Linked DNA regions of Schizosaccharomyces pombe. The gene in region 3 interacts genetically with the main gene of each other region. Each region holds a gene or a part of one and is shown on either strand. Other genes may lie near its edges.

Evidence for each region.
Region 1: mutations in cyb502 (region 3) and ppk11 together harm fitness more than expected from each alone (negative genetic interaction), as found in Schizosaccharomyces pombe (one large-scale study listed by BioGRID).
Region 2: mutations in cyb502 (region 3) and pof14 together harm fitness more than expected from each alone (negative genetic interaction), as found in Schizosaccharomyces pombe (one large-scale study listed by BioGRID).
Region 4: mutations in cyb502 (region 3) and cce1 together harm fitness more than expected from each alone (negative genetic interaction), as found in Schizosaccharomyces pombe (one large-scale study listed by BioGRID).

The regions. Positions count from the first base shown.
Region 1 is NC_003424.3:4,281,991-4,288,071, forward strand, and holds ppk11 (PAK-like kinase Ppk11), read right to left. Parts: upstream 2,565-6,081; 5' UTR 2,464-2,564; coding exon 1,525-2,463; 3' UTR 501-1,524; downstream 1-500. Other genes in the region: vma16 (V-type ATPase V0 subunit c''), read left to right, coding at 1-102; UBX domain protein Ubx2, read right to left, coding at 2,928-4,211; rps801 (40S ribosomal protein eS8), read right to left, coding at 4,823-5,425.
Region 2 is NC_003424.3:2,243,760-2,249,233, reverse strand, and holds pof14 (F-box protein Pof14), read right to left. Parts: upstream 3,500-5,474; 5' UTR 3,449-3,499; coding exon 2,153-3,448; 3' UTR 2,106-2,152; downstream 1-2,105. Other genes in the region: byr3 (translational activator, zf-CCHC type zinc finger protein), read left to right, coding at 752-1,291; microtubule plus-end binding protein, EB1 family Mal3, read right to left, coding at 4,612-5,474. UniProt on the Schizosaccharomyces pombe protein: Expression is induced during oxidative stress. Plays an essential, SCF-independent, role in the stress response to hydrogen peroxide for survival, by negatively regulating ergosterol synthesis via direct binding to the squalene synthase erg9.
Region 3 is NC_003423.3:2,574,136-2,578,725, reverse strand, and holds cyb502 (cytochrome b5), read left to right. Parts: upstream 1-3,260; 5' UTR 3,261-3,297; coding exon 3,298-3,445; exon of another isoform or gene 3,446-3,629; coding exon 3,630-3,783; exon of another isoform or gene 3,784-3,831; coding exon 3,832-3,904; 3' UTR 3,905-4,063; downstream 4,064-4,590. Other genes in the region: ckb2 (CK2 family regulatory subunit protein), read left to right, coding at 1-409; SPOM_SPBC2G5.01 (Ca(2+) binding protein), read right to left, coding at 981-2,105; Ragulator-Rag complex subunit Lam1, read right to left, coding at 4,239-4,449, 4,512-4,589.
Region 4 is NC_003424.3:4,295,953-4,300,771, forward strand, and holds cce1 (cruciform cutting endonuclease Cce1), read right to left. Parts: upstream 1,954-4,819; coding exon 1,177-1,953; 3' UTR 984-1,176; downstream 1-983. Other genes in the region: SPOM_SPAC25G10.01 (mRNA splicing or mRNA surveillance facor), read left to right, coding at 1-317; DNA-binding transcription factor Zip1, read left to right, coding at 4,114-4,819. UniProt on the Schizosaccharomyces pombe protein: Capable of resolving Holliday junctions. Specific for 4-way junctions. Seems to be important for the maintenance of mitochondrial DNA. Cleaves fixed junctions at the point of strand exchange. Cleaves after 5'-CT-3' and 5'-TT-3' sequences.

The DNA.
Region 1 (6,081 bases), on a different chromosome or scaffold from region 3:
TTCGTAAAAGTTCTTGTTGTCGAAATTTTCGGAAGTGTCTTGGGATTATTTGGATTGATCGTTGGATTGTTAATTGGTGGAAAAGCTAGTGATTTTTCTTAATTATAAACAATTCTTTTTGTTTTTCATACAACTGTAAATGCATAAATTTACAAGTTTTTTTCCGTTCAGCCGTTCCTTATTTACCTTTAATATTTCCATGTACTTTTCTAAGCGCTTGCACAGCTTATTTGGTATTTTTATAAATAACGATAATTATTACAAGTTTTTCTTGCGAATGCTTCATTTTTTGAGATGAAATAAATTATAGAAATTGTGCTGTTATTGAATAATCAGTTTCGATTGATTGACCAACTGGCTTCCTGATCCAGTGCAGAATTTCAGACTTGGATAAGTTCATTACTTATTTTTTCTCTATTATACTGCTAAAGAAACCAAAAACTCAGCTATTATATAACTACATGCTTTTTCAACCTATATGCATGTTATTATCTCAAATTGCGGACAAATTCATTCAGTCTTATGGGAATTAGTTACTGTGATTTAATTCAATATGCTTCTAATCAATTTATAAATTTTGCAATCTCTTTGCATTTGATCAACTAGAATCCAAATCTATTTATCCTATTCTCTATATGATCAAAGAACACCAGCTCATTTCCACACAGCAAAGTTTACAGTAAATAAACAATATACCTTGTATAACTTGCACATGTTCTTTCGTAACTGGAAATTAGGGTTACAGATTTAGTATTCTTGATTATTGGGTTGACAAAAAGCTATCAATCATGACAAAACGGTATTTTTTTAAATCTGATTTTGCATACTATATTTTCAAAGGTTTCAATTCCTACCTGATTCGGGCTATCCAGATATAGAAATGGTTGATATAATGGAATTGTAAAGTAAAAACAGCTACAACTTATGGCAGTAACTCATAAAGTTGTACAGTCGATTTGGAGACACTCAGGTAAACATCAGCGGTATCATGACAGGATGAAGGAATTACGGGAGATTGCATAAATATATGTTTTCCAATACTGTTAACCTCTGTAACTCCATCACTTAGTAAAAGCTCATAGCAGGTGTTGTATTGTCCTAATATTGAGACTAGTCGGAACGAAGATATAAAAGAAATCAGGATATCAAATATAAAACGATTGCTTAAAGTCCCAAACCATATCAAGTACAGAAGGGATAAAAAGATGTGCGTCTTCTATATCTTGGTACTCGTCGCAATCAAACGAATATTAGGTTAATCTGTCATATATAGGGCTGCGATGCTATCACAAATCGATATTGAATGTATTAAATCAAGGTCTAAGAGAAGAAAAAACATATGAACAGTAGTTGTTAAACTCGGAAAAAAAAGCCAGTCGGCTCAATGGGTAAGAAGCCTTAACATGAGAATTTTTGTTAATAAAAACTTGTATAAATACATTGCTTCCAAACCGTATTTTTTAACTGATGTAAGATAGCAATACAAGGCGATCAAAAAAGACAAGAAAAAAAGTGAACGTTTGCTTATCGCCGAACTGTTCCAAAATCCCAAACAACTTCATCAATGGTGTTTGCAGAATTACCCATGGTACTATTATAGGGGGTAGCTTCCGGTAATAGCTCGGATTCTTTCCATTTCGCATAAGAAGCTACAACTTCCTTCACAGATGTGTTGGGACAATACTTTTTGATGAACTTGTGTTTCGACAAATATTCAGCGGTAGCTCTATCCTTTGGGTTCTTTTTCAAACAGTTGCTAACAAAATCGCAGAATGCACGTGAAAACTTACTTCTTTCTAATGACGGAGGGGAATGCTTTGGTATTAGTAAAAGAACTTTCATCGGATGTATGCCAGAATATGGAGGCTCCCCAGTAGCCAATTCGTAAGCCGTAATTCCCAATGACCAAATATCCGCTTTGTAATTGTATCCTGTCTGCTTTACAACTTCAGGAGCCATCCAAAAAGGCGTACCAACGAAGTCATCATTTTTGTCACGCAAGCTCTCCAACTGACCTGATACGCCAAAGTCAGCAAGCTTAACTAGTCCATCTTTCATAGTTAAAATGTTGGCAGCTTTAATATCACGATGCATTTTACCTTGACCATGTAGATAAACAAGGGCCTCTAATACCTGCCTCATAACTTCGGCGATAACACGTTCACTGAACGTTCCTGAAAGCTTCAAAAGGTCTAAACAACTTCCTCCATCGCAATATTCCATAGTTATCCACAATCGAAATCCATCAACGAATGATGCATAATATTTCGTAATGTGAACCGAATTCAGATCGATCAGAAAGTTAATTTCTTGGGTCAAAGTCTCAATCTGGTCCTTTGTAGCATCTAAATCTACAACTTTAAGTGCTACAATCTTGGATGATTCAACATCTTGAGCTCGAAAGACTGATCCAAAACTTCCTTGTCCAATAAGTTGTAAATCCCGGTATTGATGTTTTTCCATATTATATATTAATAAATACAATTGAATTCTACAAAGAAAAAGGATTGATAGTGTTAGTTTACCTGGAACTTCGTATATGGAACAGCCATATGGCTCCGTGTAAAGTCGGTATCCGCGAAGGCTGATATGTTTACAGGGATATTTGAGTCTGTATCTTGAGTATGAGATCTTTCTACAGAAAAAGTGCACTTAAATATTAAACAATTAATATTTATCTGGATATTTTAAAGGACTTATCACTTCGTGCACTAGTAGTATTCGTAGATGCGTAATATAAATATACGTTTAGTCAATTCTACAGCTAATATATGGTTTATTACTTAACTGGCATGCCAAAGCATTTTTTATGTAATGAATAAATAAACGGTGGAATTTCATTAGGATGTATCTCATTATACTTAACCACAAGGAAAATATCTATTTTTGGGATAGAAAAGCAAGCAAAACACTCATCAAACTTTTTATCATTGGAATTCAAATTGCAAAGCTGTGTTTTGGATCCCTGCTTCCTTGATAGTAGAATCCAAAGACGTCCAAAGACTTTTTCTCTGAAATGTAAGAGAAAACGGTTGCTTATCTGCACCTTCGGCAACTCCTTTCACATACGCATACACTTTACTTACTGGGTCGGTCAAAGAAAACCTACGAATGAAACGTGCTCCATTGGGCATACGAATTTGGATTCTTGTGACATTGGGTCCTGGAGATGGTTCTTCGGCATCACATTCAGCTGAATCGATTTTATGAACAGTATCATCGGCCACCCCATGACTTTCTGCTTGCTGTGAAGAGCTTTCGCCTTGAGATTCAGTTGTCGAGTTTCCATTTCCTAGGGAAGCTGCAATTGCTTTGTGCATTTGCTCATCTTCAGACATCGCTTCGACTGGCTTTTGTGATTTTGCTCCCAAAGGGTTTTTACGACCACTGGTTTCATCCAAGGTACACCCTTCTAGAAAATCGTTCAGAGCAATGACAAAATCAGCTGGCGTAAACGACTTGCTCCATTCCTTAACGCGCTCTCCGGTCCTTGGATCAAGGATAGCAATGTGAGGCGTAGAACGAACGGGGTAAAACCTTTTAAACTCCATGCCAGGCTCTTCGTCATCCAAAAGCTGAAGAAATAAAAAGTGTGCACGAATCACCTCTTTTACTGACTCGTCTTTCCATAAATCACGGTTAAGTACCTGACATTCAAACGACGTTGATGTCTGTAAATTGACAAGGATCCACCGCTTCTGAGAAGATGCTTCTATTCGAGCTTCATCAAGGCTGAGATTGGAAATTATATCATACGGCGGTCGAAACAATTTTGCAAGGCGTGACGCTCTACTTGAACTGTCAGACTCTTCTGACGAGTCTTCTGTATTACTTGATGGAAAAGGGATTTGAGAGGGAGATTGATCAAAAATACCCATACGCCTTCTTTGTCTTCGATTCATTCTTGGAAATCCCCCGAATCCAAAGTTGTTGCCCATAATAGAAGTTCCTGCTGACATATCAGCTAACGGGTCTACCAAAACCTCTCTGGTAGGTGCAATAGGCGCACGAATTTCTTCTACAGGCTCAGTCTGACTCGGTGCTTCTATATAGCTCGATTGCACATCGGTAACGCCTCCACTTTCAAAGAACAATGTGATTGCAGTCGATAAATCGCCATCTGCAACGCTCAAGTACTCTTGAGCTTTTTCAGGTGTTGAATTAGTTATTGCGCAGAAGTTGGCTACTAAACTAGCTTCGTCTCCATCCATTTTTTTTACCTTCGTTTATACCTGTACTTGGTAAATGGCAAGTAGAGCAGGTTTAGTCAGAGAGGTATACGCATACCCCATACGTAAACAAATTTAAAGTAAATTTTTTATTAGTTGTCCAATTTAAGTTTTATAATTTTAAGAGAAAATGACTTATAATTTTTGATATTCTTTGCCAGGTTTTAAAATTTACGAAAACGCGATAAGGACATTAACAAAACAACTTGCTGAAATCATAGAAATAATGACTTTAGAAAAGAGGGTCTCAGTCATAAAAGTCTCTATTAATTAAATCAGTAAGGACTTGAAAAGCTCGTACTTTTTTCTGATACTTTATACTGAAATCTTGGAAAATCTTTTAGTAATTTGCATATAATTTTTCAAACCCAGTAATACTCATACAACTTTGCTAGTCTATATGAGCAATGAAATGGCTTTTTGACGATGACTACTAAAAAAGTTTTACAGTTCATGCTGTTTTAATTATAAATTACATAGGAATCACAAGTATTACTAGCCATGCATATACAATTGTACTATAAATAATCACAAAAAGTTAAAAAGTTTGTATATAGGCACATTTTTGCATTAAGAAGACTAAAACAACTTTTTTACTTCTTGGGGGCCATACGACGAAGGTAGAAATGTAACTCCTCTCCCTCAAGAATGTAACCATCACAACGTCCAGATTGACCAGGACGAGAGGATACAACAGCATACAAACGGCCAGCAGCAAACTGAGTTTCCAAAGCGGAGTCAACCTTAGAATCGCCAAGACGAGCGCTATGCTTACGTTGAACATGCTTGGATTTGGGATTAGGGGTTGAAGTGGCCTTCTTTCCCTTGCTTCCCATCAAGATACCGTAATGGGTTTCATACCAGACACGGAAAGGAGCAGCATCAATTTGGACAATAGCTGACTTGGTTAAAGTGTTGGTACGAACCAACTCGTTGTTAGAAGGGTGATAGGCAACTTGAATAATACGAGTCTTCTTGGAAACACCCTCAGAGCCCCAAGAGAAGTTACCAGAGTCAAGACGAAGGGCACGGAACTTCTTATTTCCACCACGAACACGGACCTCGTGAATACGCTTAGGTCCAATACGAGTGTTGGAAGGTTGACGACCCAACTCGAATTTTCTCTTCTTGCGGTACTGAGCACGCTTAGCACCGGTAGCAGAGCGCTTGTGTCGTGAGTCTCTGGTAATTCCCATGTTGGTGATTTGGAGATGGCTAGAAATCGCCGACAAAAAGTTTAGCCTGGCTTTCGATTGTGACTGTCTTTTTGAATAATTTAAGGAACTCCGCTTATGGTACACTATGTACAACTGCGCAAAGTTGCTTATTGAATACTGTCAGTTATACTAAACTACGCTATAATGTACTACGTTATGAATCACTATATGCCACATGTTCATAATGTTCTATTTGCTCTATCAGCTTTACATGATAAGTTATCAAGACATATATAATATTAGTTGTAATAAGGTGAATAACTGTCAGTTATGATTCTTGCTGTTTCAAATGGTTATAAATTGAGAACAACTGAACCTCATTCCTGAGTTCAGTTATAAGCCATATCAGTGATAGGTAACATTATAACCTAGTTAATACGATACCTATACTCAGTTGCTACTTATATTACTTGCGTATTGCAATATAATAGATCACAAGGAAAACTCACCGCAGCTTTACGTACCCTTAAAACAGATACTAAACTGCGTAGCTGACAAATACGGAGTCAAAGATTAGGAGTAAGGTGAAAGATATACGCTAATGTAGTACAACGTAATGTGCCACAGTAAAGTATTTCTTCACGGATATCAGTTGGATGAATATTAATTCGAATACCTTGTTTTAGTTATACAAA
Region 2 (5,474 bases), on a different chromosome or scaffold from region 3:
GTATAATGAATCGTTGCCATCGATTCGACCCGGGTTCGATTCCCGGCCAAAGCATTATTTTTTACCAAAACAATTTTTGGATTTATTTTGATTTGTTTGAATTCAAGCACGTGGTACTCTGGATACCTAAAATATGTACAACTATAGATTCCAGTAATATATATATTGCAAATGACTGAACTCAATTCTTCAGGCGCTATACTGTGAATGCAATGTTTCTACGATTTTTTGCCATGAAAAATAACGATGCTTATTTACCACGATTCAAAGTAACTAAGCGTTTGGTTATATTCGCTTGGAATACCAATCTACATTACAATGAGGAGGCAATAATTGCTATGATATAAAGCTATTGTCAGAACCAAAAAGTCCTGAGTTTATGGGAAAGAGTGAGCTTACTAGTTATGTAAGATATTACACTCTCTATCACAAAAAAAAGCAAGTATGCGGTAACAATTCTTCGATTCCATGACTCTTTTTAATTGGCAAGTTGTTGTGCTTCTTCCGTCGGTCTAAAACAACTAAATTCTTATTTATTGACATCTTTAAGACCAAAATAGTCGCTTGTCAAATTCGTTACTTCCAAGTGCCACCATGTGCTTGTTACTTAAGAAAAATTTAGACAGTCACACGCTCCTATTTATTAAGGAAGTGTAGTCAGGTTAGCGAGAAAAAGTACATTTTTTCTGTTTTTTTTTATTTTTCTTAATTTTCTTTAATAATTTTTTTTAATTGTAAAGGAGTTGTTAAGATGGAGTCTGAATCTGTTCCCACCGTTCCTCAAACCACTCGTCCCGGTCCTCGATGCTATAACTGTGGTGAAAACGGTCATCAAGCTCGTGAGTGCACCAAGGGTTCAATCTGCTACAATTGCAATCAGACCGGTCACAAGGCTAGCGAATGCACTGAGCCTCAACAGGAAAAAACTTGCTATGCTTGTGGTACCGCCGGACATCTCGTTCGTGATTGCCCCAGCAGCCCTAACCCCCGTCAAGGTGCGGAATGTTACAAGTGTGGTCGTGTTGGTCACATTGCTAGAGACTGTCGTACAAATGGTCAACAAAGTGGCGGACGATTTGGTGGTCATCGCTCCAACATGAATTGCTATGCTTGTGGCTCTTATGGCCATCAAGCCCGTGATTGCACTATGGGCGTGAAATGCTACTCTTGTGGTAAGATTGGACACCGCAGCTTTGAATGTCAACAAGCTTCAGATGGTCAACTTTGTTACAAGTGTAATCAACCAGGCCACATCGCCGTCAATTGCACCTCTCCTGTAATTGAGGCATAAGTGCTTGCTATTTATAACCCTTTGTCGTGGTATGAAGATATTTTTTCTTTTTCTTGTCCGATTTATTCAAATTTGGCAAGTGGTCATATTCTTACAAATCCCTTGAGCGATCTGCGCATTTAGTTATATAGAAAGCATAATTTTACATCCTTCTCTTCGTCCTTATTTTTTCGCACACTTCTGAATTCATTTTTGCTTCGGATCCTTAAGGATATTTGTACTGAAGCCTGAGATGCACCACCTCATTTCTCTCCTGTTTTCTCGTCACCGCTAAAAGATGGATGTTGATAGATTAAATCCTTTTTGTTTCAGTTTATTTTTACTGTTGTAGTGGCATTTTTTTCCTATTATTTTCAATTCACGAGCTTGAAATAAAAAAATTTGGAATATGGGAATTCTATAAATGATAGAAATTCCTTGGTCCATTTGGATGATTTGTTTTTTTTAGTGCCATTATTTAATGGAACTTTTGGTTTTATATGACAACTCACTATCAATTTCATTTACGAAATGGGTTTTGGCGTTTTCGTATTTTTTGAGTAACTTAATTTACCTTATGTGTTTGTACAGTAAATGTTAATGCTCTGACTTATTAACAACTTCTCTACTTCTTAATCTCTCATGGTATCTGTATAACAATATTTACAAAAGGGTTCTGGGTCATTTGCCTAATTAATATTATTTTTTCCTTGCATTGCTTACTCTGCTTTTCAAAAATGAACTGTAATTGAAAACGGGTGAACGATAAATGTAACAGTTGTCATAGACAAAAAAAAATTTATTAACTTCAATTTTACTTTCATACAAATTTGACATCGAATTTGTCTATTACATAAAATCGTAGTATATTAATCCAAAATTTTATTGTTCACATAACTCAGCCAACTGCGCTCGAAACAAACGAAATAAACTTCTTGCAAATTCACCTTGAGAATGGTAAATACTCTTGAACGCTTTCTCTTCATCCCTAGCCAATTGAACATGCTCCGATAACCAAGAGGGGAATTTTTGACCAGGCCTGCTTATATATCCCACCCCTAAACGATCTTTCATAACATCAAATTTGTATCTACTTACAGGTTCATAAAAGTCAATGATTGCTTCTAAGCATTGATCACATATATTGGTAGCAACAGAAGGCCGGTAAAATGAGGTAATGCAATCTTTAAACTTAGTTAACTTCGGTATTCTATTGCAAAGCACACAACGGCCTACAAGATTGCATGCTAGCTCTATATATGTAGACTCATCGCATGACTGTGTTCCATCTCCTGTTTGGATGATCGAGGAGGCTAACGAAGAAGTATCAGAATGAATTGTCTTTGCTGCATAACTTTGATAACTTGGATCAAGAAAAATTGGAATGATTGTAGGGATATCGGTAAATTTGGCCACAGCACTTGTGTTTATAGACTCAGAGCAAGTTACAGCCGAATTTGGATTTTTTTTATGCACCTTAAGTAATCGTTTCCAAAATGAAACATTTCGAGGGCTGAGAATCTTTTTAAAACGTAAACATGTATTGGGGAGGTCATGGATAAGGGTATGTCGTTGTTTTCTATATGAAAATGCAAAGGGTAACTTCTCTATGTATGAAGCATCATAGCAATATGAAAAAATCAGCTGTAAAATTTCATCCGGACAATCCAAAATTTTTGCATACTTAGGACTCTCAGATGAGTATCTATAATATAAATTTGACTTAGGTGAAGCAACAGTTAAATTTAATGAAGAGTCAAGATTATCGCTACTTGGTATTTTTCTGAAAGGCAGGACTTGGGTAGTATACTCGGCATAATCATTAATCAATTCTAGAAGATTTCTACTTAGTGAGCATTTATCAAGTAGACCTTCATAATCAATCATTGCTGAAGCATGCGAATCTCCATCAACAACCAACGTATTCCAGACACCATTCCAATTGTCTTCTTCATCAAAATTAGAACAGATCGAAACCAATCGCTTCATGGCTCTTACTCTTGCTAAACAATGCACAAATTCATCAAATGTTTGAGGCTTGAAATATGAGCTTCTTATTTTTTTGCGAGTATCGATTAGTATTCTTAAAAACGATTCATCTTGATCCAAGTGCTCATTCACGCTGGTATTCATATAGCATGTATGCGTTTTGCAATTTTGAAATGAAAATTGAAGCATTTAGTTTGATTAAGTAGTAGTACCCATATACAGTTCGTTGATGGTGATGTTGGCTGACTGCAAGCTCAATTTGCCGGTTATCAACATTGCATAATTATACATCACATGGTTACTTACTCATACCGGCCTGAGAATTAGGTGAATAAAAACCTATATAGAAAACAGAAGTTTTATAATAAAAACTAGTGGTATACTTCGCATATTATACTAATGTGGATCGAATTTAATTCTTTGTGTGAAAGACGTAACATTGGTGTTATCAGATCAGATAAGACAAATTGATCAAACCCCCCGGCGGGGGGGGGGAAACTTGGTGCTTTGAATTTCATTATTGAGATTTTTGCTTTGCAAATTTAAAGAATTGTGAATGAAAGAGTTTTATTTATTATTAACGACGTGTAGCTGAATTGCATAACTTTAAGCTTGATTTAAAAATTTGCTATTTAAAGTTGATATAGTTCGAGTAAAAAAAATAAACTAACAAAGGTACCTCAAAATTTTACATACTTTACTATTGCTAGTAAAAATGACAAGCATAAACACCTACGGTTTATAAAGTCAACAATATATATATATAAGATAAGGATAAGTAATTAAACTTCTACATCGCTGAGACGTACGCAGTTGAAACGTTTTAACATAATCAGATCATTGAAAGTAAATATTTTACTCTTTATTTTGCTCATATATGAAAAAGGCGATTTTAAAATCGGATGCAAATTTTTTTTAAATCGAGTAGATATTTCAGCATCATTGAATAAAATTCTGAAACATCCATTCATACTTTTCAACATTTAATTATAAAAAAGTTTGGTTCGTAATCACTGAAACGTAGAAGCAGGATAAATTTAAATTATCCTTGAAGCTTTTTTAAAGAAATAAGAAAAATATCCTATTTGGGATAATTAGACGGCTCAAACACTAAGGATTAAAGTTTATTACAATTAGCATTTGTAGTATACAGAATGCTATATGTTAAGGAAAAAGAACGAAATTAAATGAATTTGGAGGTCATGAGGCACGCAACATTCGATCAGGTTAAATAAACAATAAGGAATAAGAAGAACTCCCTATAAAAATAAATATTTCGGTTTCCTTTATTTACGTTGTTACAGTGAAAAATGAAGAATTTGCAACAAAAAAAAACTTTAACTTAGTACTTTTTAAAACGTGATATTCTCATCGTCATCAACCTCTAAACTTTGTAGCCTAGCATGTACGAAATCTGGTGCAGAGGGAACGCGTTGAGTTTCTGAGTCTTTTAGGTCAGTCATTTGAGCCTCTTCAGCGACGTTGTTAGTATCATGGTCCGTAAGGGCGGTAGTTAAATCTGCGGGTTGATCAGGTGGTAACTCAAAACCATCCTCAGTAGAATAAAGTATTGCTTGAATACGCTCCAACATATTTTCCATTGACATAGGAGAAGTGGTCAAATGAGTTTGTACAAGTATTTCAATTTCTCGAAGCTTGTTAAAATAGAAATCACGTTCTCTCTCCAAACCAAACATCGTCTCATTAACTTCGTACAACTGTGTTTCAAGACTAGTGATTTGTTGTTGTGCTTGCTTTGCCCTTAACACTGCCGCAGTATTTGCAGTCGAAGACACGTTATTGTTGTTTGCTGATGACTTAGTCATTGAAGGTGTAGAACTACCAGAAGAAACCTGACGGCGACGAGAAGGGCCAGTTGCTCCTGCAGAGGAATTCATAACACGAGTGTTAGCAGGTCCTCTATTCCCCCGGCGTGCCAGCGCATCATAATCGCCCCCAGGATAATATTGATCCCAAAAACGTTTGGCCCATTGAACGAACTCCAGATTATCTTGCATTTTACAACGCGATAGTCTCTCAGGGTCTACAACTTTATCGATACCCTTCTTCAAGAATACCTGTTGAAGAACTTTCCAATTGTTTATATATTGATACTCATTATTGCATTCAAAATTCACCTTTTTTAGTGGTATGTCTTGATATATGGAGTCAAAAATCTGTATCATAGCGTAACCTTTTCCACAATCCTCAATCC
Region 3 (4,590 bases):
TACCCGGACAGGATTACATCAAATGGCGGAAAAATACAGCATGGGTATTTTTGGTTGCTGTCCTCGTGTAAATTGCTGCTATACTCATGTTTTGCCTGCAGGACTTTCTGATATAGTTGGAAAAATGCCTGTAATGTTATTTTGCCCTAATTGTCTTGATTTGTACGCTCCTTCTAGTTCTCGATACAAAAACATAGATGGCTCTTTTTTTGGTGCTACTTTTCCTCATCTGTTTTTTGAAAGCTATCCTGAACTGAATCCTAAGCGCTCAATCCCTTGTGGTAAAATTTATCAGCCTAGAATTTATGGCTTTAAAGTCAGCGAATTAAGTAAAACAGGACCTCGAATGCAATGGCTTCGTATGTACTTGGAAGATAGTGGTAGCGATTCGGAGTCTGAAAGTGATTAAAAACGATGCTTCATCTTATTTATGCCATAACCTAATGGTTCGTTCCTCTAAGCCTTAATAATACTTTTATTCCTATAAAATATCCTTGAAGTTTCTTTTCCGTCAAATTCAATTATCTAGTTGATGTCTCATTGCTTTGCATATAAGAAAAAACAGAATTTGGTATTTTTTAATATAATGTCCGCGAGGCATTTGAATTAGTAAATTCACACTAAAGAGCTTGATGAACTTCCAAAGGATTTAATATTGGTTACCTTTAAAAGTTGGGTAAAAAAAAGTTCCTTATTTCTTGTTGATTGATAATATACTTTGTTCATCAATTGAAGTAGCAGACTAATCATACATGTAAATTAATACAAGACCAAAAAATAAGGGTGCGCAAGTGTAACCAAAGGTGTGCTTCCTCAATGAATCCGATAATTCTTAACCATTGCATACATACCTTACAACTTAAATACATTTAATTGACAATAATGAAAAAAATTAAATAAAAAAACAAACAAACAAAACTGCTTTTGTATTAGAGAGAAAAATAGATGTTAAGAGAAATCGAAGTTTAGCTAAATACATTTTACATCTTCTTTGCGCGTCTTCTCATTTTGCGTTGACGTTCCCTCTCCATGCGCTTTTTTTGATCAGACTCAGAAAGCTTAGAAATATCGCCAGAGGATTTAACTTTTTTCTTGGCGGCCTTAGCGGCTGAAGCATGAACAACTTGCTCAAAGGCGAGTTTACGGGCAGAGGTAAGTTTCTTCGAAACTTCTGGTCGCCATTGGAATTTTGGACAACTATCAGCTACCAGCAACAAGGAATTAAACAATGCACTTCCCGTAGCATTGCTCAAACCAGAAAGGGATGTGATTTTTTTAATTCTGATTGAAGCTTCGATACGAGGCTTCGTAACATAATCCTTTTCGGTAGCAGGAGGGACTGAAGGTTGATCAGTAACGATGAAATACTCAAGGTTTTCAATACACTCGTTAATTGAAGACATAAACTCGGGAATTTCGAAAATAGCTTGACTACACTCATTGTTCTCAGACATTAAAACATGAGTTTCCGGTAAGTAAGGAGAGGAAGAAATGCGGGTAAAGCTTAAGTCGTAACGTATTTCACGAAGAATGCGCATACAGTCTTTATGAACAATGGCGAAAACAAAACGCTCAGCCTTCAAGTTCTGGTCTGCAAGAGTTAAATCGAATTGAAAACGGTCAGCAACAGGTAAAACAGAAGACATAACGTTTCCCAGGAGGATTTCAACGATTTGATTAAGAGAGTAGGCTAACAAATCTTGACGAGGAAAAAGCTGAAGTGTTGTATACACATTCTTCACGTTGAGACGTCCAGTAAGATAGGAGCTAAACTCGGTAGGAGAGTCATAAATGATTGGAGAACTGTTAGGACCTGGTCCATATTGTGCAAACTGTTGGCGAAAGCTAGACTGTAAGGAACCATACCAGCGAGAAGCGATTTTTTGGTTTTTCTTCTTTTGCGTGATAAAAGAAAAAACATAAAGGAAAAAACAAGCAAGAATAACAAATTCAAGACGGAAATCTCTCCAATCGACATGCTTGAACATTCCTGGATTCTCCAACTCGGGATTCATATTGTAATCCTCTTCGTATTCATCTTCCTCATCAGCCAGTACTCCTTTAGCTAGTGCAAAAACTAGAAACAAAAGCTTTTTATTAATCATGGTTCCTCCGCTTGTAAATTTACTGACTTTCGTGAAAGAAAAAAGGGCACTGGTTGTACGAAGTGAGATTGAACGTGGTGAAATAAGTAACGAACGAGACAAGCCGGTTCCTAGAGTGGGAAGATTAACTAGTGTATATAGATAGTTTAAAATAAGTCGGTAACCAGAACATGTCGCGATGGTGTAGTTGGGAGCATGACAGACTGAAGATCTGTTGGTCATCGGTTCGATCCCGGTTCGTGACACTTTTTTTGACGTGGAGAAAACACTTTGTACTAGTTATATCCAACATAATTTTGAGGTTTTTTCTTTTTACTTATTTTTATTTTTCTAGTTGCTATATGTGAAGCAAAATTAGATAGCTAACGGATGCTCAAGAATATTGTACTGGCACTTCAGCTTGTTATTGCAAAAGTTACAAAAACAGTCTGCAAAGACAAACAAGCATAGAAGCTCAGTTGGTCTAAATGTATATTACTAGATCGGTTCTGTAATTATTGGTGTTTTATTAGCAATGAATGGTGCTTTCAACTGAATATATCCGACAGAGAAACTATATGGCGTTACAATTTTCAAAGGTAGTAGTTTATCTATTTGGTAAATGATAGTTGTACGAACTGCTACGCATTTACTCAAAATCTTAGTTACATTCATGCGTTCTATATAAAAGAAAGTCATTTTGTACTTGCTTGTTTACGTATACGATCGGTTAATCTCAACAAAGCAAATAAAAGGAAGCTAGTCACCCTGTTGTACTTTATACCTAGGACATATTTTTTTTTTCAAACATGTAACATACCGTTACTGAAGAATGTCATAAGCTTAACGCTAGCTAAATTAAGCTTGTATCAAAGTTGCGAGGGATATTGAGATCTATCGTTATTAGATCATTATAGATAAAAAGATATAAATGAGAAATCCTCCATACCTCAACAATAATTGTTTATTGGTAAAAAAATATTATTCCTATCCACTTTTTGGTTAAGCAGAAAATCTGGCAGAATTTTGTACATGCCGCTTTGCCTATCATTGGCTGCTAAATAAATTCCTTGAGCTCGTTTGTTCGATTATTTACTACTACCACACGATACCCTAACGTGAGATTTTCTCTACTAGCGATATCAAAACTTTCGCAAACTTTTTCCAACTCCCCTCAACACACGATTTTTATTATATAGATTTATTTATCAAGATGTCGGTGAAATACTTTGAACCTGAGGAGATTGTGGAGCACAATAATTCCAAAGACATGTACATGGTCATTAATGGAAAAGTTTACGACGTTAGTAACTTTGCTGATGATCATCCTGGAGGCTTAGATATAATGTTGGACTATGCAGGTAAATAATTCGACAAAACTTTTGTAGAAGTAAACACCATATTATGTTGGAGACTGCTATGCTCAAAAGCGATAGTATACTTTTAATCGCTATCGTTTCATTCATCAGTTCTTCACTTGTGTGCCTTCTTGATTAAAACATTGTATACGGCTTTTTAAACATGTCCACTAACTATTTGTTTTAGGCCAGGACGCCACTAAGGCCTATCAGGACATTGGACACTCTATTGCTGCAGATGAGTTACTAGAAGAGATGTATATTGGTGATTTAAAACCCGGAACTGAGGAGAGACTCAAAGAATTAAAGAAACCTCGTTCATTTGATAATGATACGCCTCCGTAAGAAAATGATTTGTGTACGATGGTTGTTTCATGCTAACAGAACAGATTGCCTCTATTAATCGCATTAATTGTCCTGCCAGCCATAGCAGTAATTGTGTTTGTTAAGCTTAACAAATAAACTTCGAAGGCTTGCCTATTTATTTTCCTAATCTTTATACCTTCTTTTGTTTTTCGCGATGTTAGTATCACTCAATATTATTATGGATAGCAATTGTTTTCAAGGCTTCTAAAGAAACAAAATAAACGTTAACTTAGAAAAATATATTTCTTAAATGTCTTCCTTCAGTAAGAGAGCTCTTAAAAACAATGAGTTCAGCTCGTAACATGTAATTAACTCATGGAGATATTAAACAAACCAAAAAAGTATAACAAAAAGATTTAGCTAATAGTAAAGAGGGAAGTATGTAATCAGAAGTGGAATATAACTAATGGAAAAATTAGTTCTATTGGGCTTATGAAGGACTTCCAGTAATATTCGGTTGGACTTTAGATAAATTGATTACCATCTTTCCTTTGATTTCTTTATCACTCAGCTTAATGTTGTTAATATCATCAATCAAAACACCTAGTTTCCTTATTATAAACTCGGTTTCCTGCTCGGTAGGTTTAGCAACATCGTATTTTGGATCTAAATTCAATGAGTCGATTTGATCTAATACCTCCCTATCGCAATCATTATGTTAATATAGTTTCTACTGTATAAAAAGAATTTATCAAAAGCTTACTCATAAATGTTGTCCCGAGGGTCTCGCTGAGGTGCTTCGGTTCTCAATCGTAAAGAAAAGACGTCAATGAATTTATTTC
Region 4 (4,819 bases), on a different chromosome or scaffold from region 3:
ATGATAGAAGAAGAAATTCCAGGGATTTTCCAAGCAACAATAAAGATGGGGGATATCGTAGAAATAATTATCGTGACCGCGATTCTAATAGATATCGAAACTCTTATCGTCCATCTAGGCCTCAACGAGAACATTCTCCCGGAAATTACCGCAAAGAAAGATACAACGTTGATTCAAGACCGAGAAGAGAGCGACATTTCCATGGAAGGTCCTTTGCTCATGCAGAGCATCATTCTGTTCCTAACATGCGCAATGATACCCCAGGTAATGAAGCCTTACCTTCACACTCTTCGGTGCCTCCAAACGAAGATCAATAATTAACAATTTGCTTAATATAACCTTTTTATCATATATCGCTACTCTTTTTGAGTTTCCTTTGCTTACTTTCATTTAATGAAAACCTTTTATAGTTAACAGTTTATGATTCGTTATACCTTAGGTTCGTTTACTTTTCTTCCTTGTATAAACGGTCTATTGCTTATTATATTAAATTTTCCCTGAAAGCTATCATGTACCAATTTCCAAAAGGTGTGTGTGTTTTCCACGTGTTTATACTACTAATTTTTTCTCGTCTTTCTTTACTTTAGGGATTAAATCTTGTGTAAATGCGTGTTATCCAGGGTTTACTCTGTTGGGGAACTAAACAATCACGAGTTGCGTTTTTTTATGTTTTTTTTAAAGGATCTCAGACGCTATCATGGTCCTCTTATGACTTTTGTGGCTTCACTGCAAGTTCTACTTTTTTCTTTACGTCTTCAAAGCCGTTTCATACAAATTTATTATAAAAAATTTCATTTTTCGGTGCTGTTATTGGTGCTTTTGTATGCATGAAATATAGAGGATATAAACTTGGGTTTTTGAAATGAGCAAGGTCGGGTTGCTATTTTTAAGGCCTTATTACCTTTTTTTGTTTGTCATCATTCTTATTTTTTTTAAAAAATTCATTTCATGTTCTTTATGTTTTGTTATTTTTCATCGTTGAAGTTTAGAATAATGCTCAAAGAAGATCTTTGATACATGTGCCTGCATTCCTTTTGTTATCATTATTAATTTTATGAATTTAGTTTAATTTCTTCCTTTTTTATAGGATCATGAAATGCAATATACGATAGTTTTTCTTTGAATAAAACTACAATATACAAATTGGCTAAACATTCGTACGGCAATCGTTCATTTCTATTGTTTCAGAAACTGTTTGCAAAAGTTTCTATAATGCTTCAGTTGGGCTTGCCATCTCATCCAACCGCTTGCAATCAAAGCAGAATCTGCCATATCGTCCTTTTTAAATTCAACCCTAGAACCGTTGTTCCATTTATACAGAGCTTCTTCATTTTCAAATAGGATTTTTTGACCATCTATTAATTCCTTGACCATTTGTACTCTACTCTTCTTCTTTGAAAAAGATGCTTTCGTATTCAAAACTGATGCCCAATACGAGTATGTAGATTTTGGGGACAGAGAAAGAAGGAAAGGATATTGTATTTTCTGTTCGATTGAATTTCTTTTTTCTGCGTAGTGTAACGCATACAGCATGCTTTCAAGCATATTTACTCGTAGCGTCCACTCTGGAATCGTAGCAATACCGGAACGATAACGCTGGCGTTCCATAAGAATGACATGCGGATTGAATTTTTCGTGTAATGTATTAAACAGTTGTATTGAAAGATCAGCCATGGAGCTAGGCTGGAAGTCTTCGGTCCATTGTATATCAAGCCCATTTTTTTCAGTTAGATTTTCAACAGACCAATTGTGGATAATAACTTTAGAATCTTCATTTTGACTTGCAAAGCAGTAAGAGAAATTTTTGATTCCCAAGTCAATACCAAGTACCCGAGAGGTGGGATAAATAGGAGAGTCAACAATTCTTCGAAGCAACTCATCCTTTCTTCCACTTCTTGACAATCCAGTTAACTTACAGATGTGCTGTAAAAAACTAAGTTTCACAGTAGCCATTCTGTAAAAAAGAATAAATTGACATAAAGAAACGGATATGAAGTTGTAAACCTATAGCAATGATTATGTTTTTTTTTTTTGCAAAAACAAGGAAACGAGGCAGTAAGAATTGAGTTTATTCAAATAAGAAAAAATGATTATTTCTCTTAAAATGAATTGTTTTTAGAAGTGAACAGTTTTAGATGCTAGATGCAAACGTGAAAGATAGTATATGGTAATACAAAAAACGAAGGATTGGTAAATGGGAGTCCGGGAATTTTTATTTCACTTACGAGTAGAAACATGTAATTTTTTTTCTTTTATTCCATAAGCTTGCGATGTTTGAAGTCGTTGACAACGTCTTGCTTAGTTCAAACTGCTAGTCACCTGGGAATTATCTGAATAAATAAGCATTAAAATATGAACAAAGATTGGCGAGTCCAAGTTTATGTGAAATATCAACAACGATATACGTCGATTCATAGGAGGTTTGAACTCATCAACCTAAAGTTAGAAATACATGGCAAAAGAAATTTATCACAGATTGTTAATATGTTTGCAATCAGACATTGACTTAAATCAATTCTTAAGACTTGTTTGTAAGTGAGCAAGTTTATTATTGTTTTATGAATGATCGAGGTTGTGTAAAATGGCACAGTTTGTATTTGAAAGCTAATTTGGAATCCACAAAATTTAAGATATATAACAGAAAAGCTTTTATACAGCTGAAGTCTTCATTTAATACCCCGAATCCGTCATTGTCTTTTATTATAATACCGAGTTTCTATGCAAGTTAGGTAAAACTCCATATTTGAAGTCTTGGACATTGAAATACTTAAACTGTAACATTTGTTTTAAACTATTAGGATTAAATTTTCAAAGTTTTGATGGCACACATTGTACTATAGTTAGCAAGTATATAGAACGGCGATGGTTGACAAAAATGAACTACAAATGTAACCACGGAATGAACGTGAAGGTTTATCGGATTTTGATTTTAACGCTGTTTAATTTGTATTCAGCTACCTTTAACATTAATGATGAATTTCTGCTATTGGATTTCTAAAACTCCTCTGAAAGCATATAGCAGACAATGTCTTACGCAAATACAAAAAATGCTTTAAGGATTTCAAAGCGTTTTCCACTGATTTTTTTCTTATGCAAAAAGCAAATCTATTACTGACTTTAAGCTTGAACTTCAATCATTCTCATTTCTATTTCGTTTCCATATTCTATTATAGAGGATCTGTCAAGTAACATGTTTTGTATTTGATTCTTTTTTTACACAAGCAGCACTAGTATGAATAAGTTTTAAGAAGAATATGACTTTGTTCCGGAATATATTAACTGACTGAAAAGTAGAGAATATACTGTTTTTAGAAAAAAAAAATTGCGAATTGTCTGACGCACTATTGTTTCAATATATGAACCGTTGTTGGGGATGAAAAATGTTCAGTAAAAACCCCAAACTTAAAACTTATTGCGCATGTAGATCTAAAGTAGTTTATTCAATTAACTATTCGACTGACTATTACAACTGGGCCATTGATATATAAAATGAGCGAATATTCTAATGGCTTTAGAATTTTCAATATAAGATAAAACTTCCGATCATTTACACAAAAAGCAAGAACTTAAGACTGCTTTTTAACTCTCATTAATAGCATACGACTGATTTCTTTAGGATTTTTTTCCTAAATAGCAATTTGTTAGTGACTTATATAATAACGTTTTTCTAGCAGGTTTAAACTACTACGGTAACAACTTCTATAATAATTAACGGTGCACTATCTTAATATAGGATAGTTTTATGAGGATCTACGTACAGCTACACTACATCAGATTTTTAACGCGGAGATTGTAATCTCATTATTATCTCAACGCTGCATGATCCCGATCGCAGACGTGCTGGCTCAGTCATCAAATTTTCTACGATTACCAACGTAGCGTCGCCATTCATCGAGTCACTAAATTTGGTGGTTTAGCTCGTTTATTGCGAACGGTTGAGTGTGTTTTTTTTACCTTTGTGAGATATAATTTGATTAGTAACGATAATTTTGCCGTTAAGTCTTAGGTAAGCTTATTGTTGGAGAGTTCAGTTTTTTAGCGAAATTCCATGCTAACAATTGATTTTCAGTTAATTTTAAGAGACCAAGAGTCTCAAGATAAAGCTTTTGACAAATGGATTTTACTCCTAATAGCGCTATCAATCACTTGAATCTTAAGTTCGATGATGTTCCTGTCTCTGACGATTTTTCAAAGGATGATCTCGCAGAGCAATTAAATGTATTCACAAATCCATACTTTTTAGATTTAGAGCCTTCTAGTATGCTTTCAGAAGGCTATTATGGATTTGTTTCTCAACCTTCAGGTTCTTCCAATTCCAATAAGCAGGAAAAGAACGTGCAGCAACAGAATCCCGAAAAAATTTCGACTTTGCAGCAAGTTAAAGAGGAAGAAGTTAGCAATACCTTTTCTGCCCCTTTGAATGCAACTGGAAATTTTTCTTCTGCTAATCCTGCTTCAATTGATCTTGCTTATCTCGACTTGCAGAAACTCCTAACCCTACCTGATCATTCAAAGGAAACTCAAGAAAAAACTTCGTCTCAACGAGAGCTCTTTGAGCAAAAGTCTTCTGTTGCTTCAGCCTCCAAGGATAATGTTTCTTCTTCCTCAATTCTCCAAGGTTCAGCTTCCTCCAAGTTACTACCTGATCAATCTGCAAGACAACATCAAGTTTTGGTTGGACAGACTGCTATCCCGACTTCTGAAGCTAGCAGCTCTATTAACAATACCCCTTTACAAGCTCCCGTTTCTTCATTTGCTGATCAAAACGCATTTACCAATCCCCTTTCCACTTTTGCCAGTCCTGATTTAGCATCTGTAT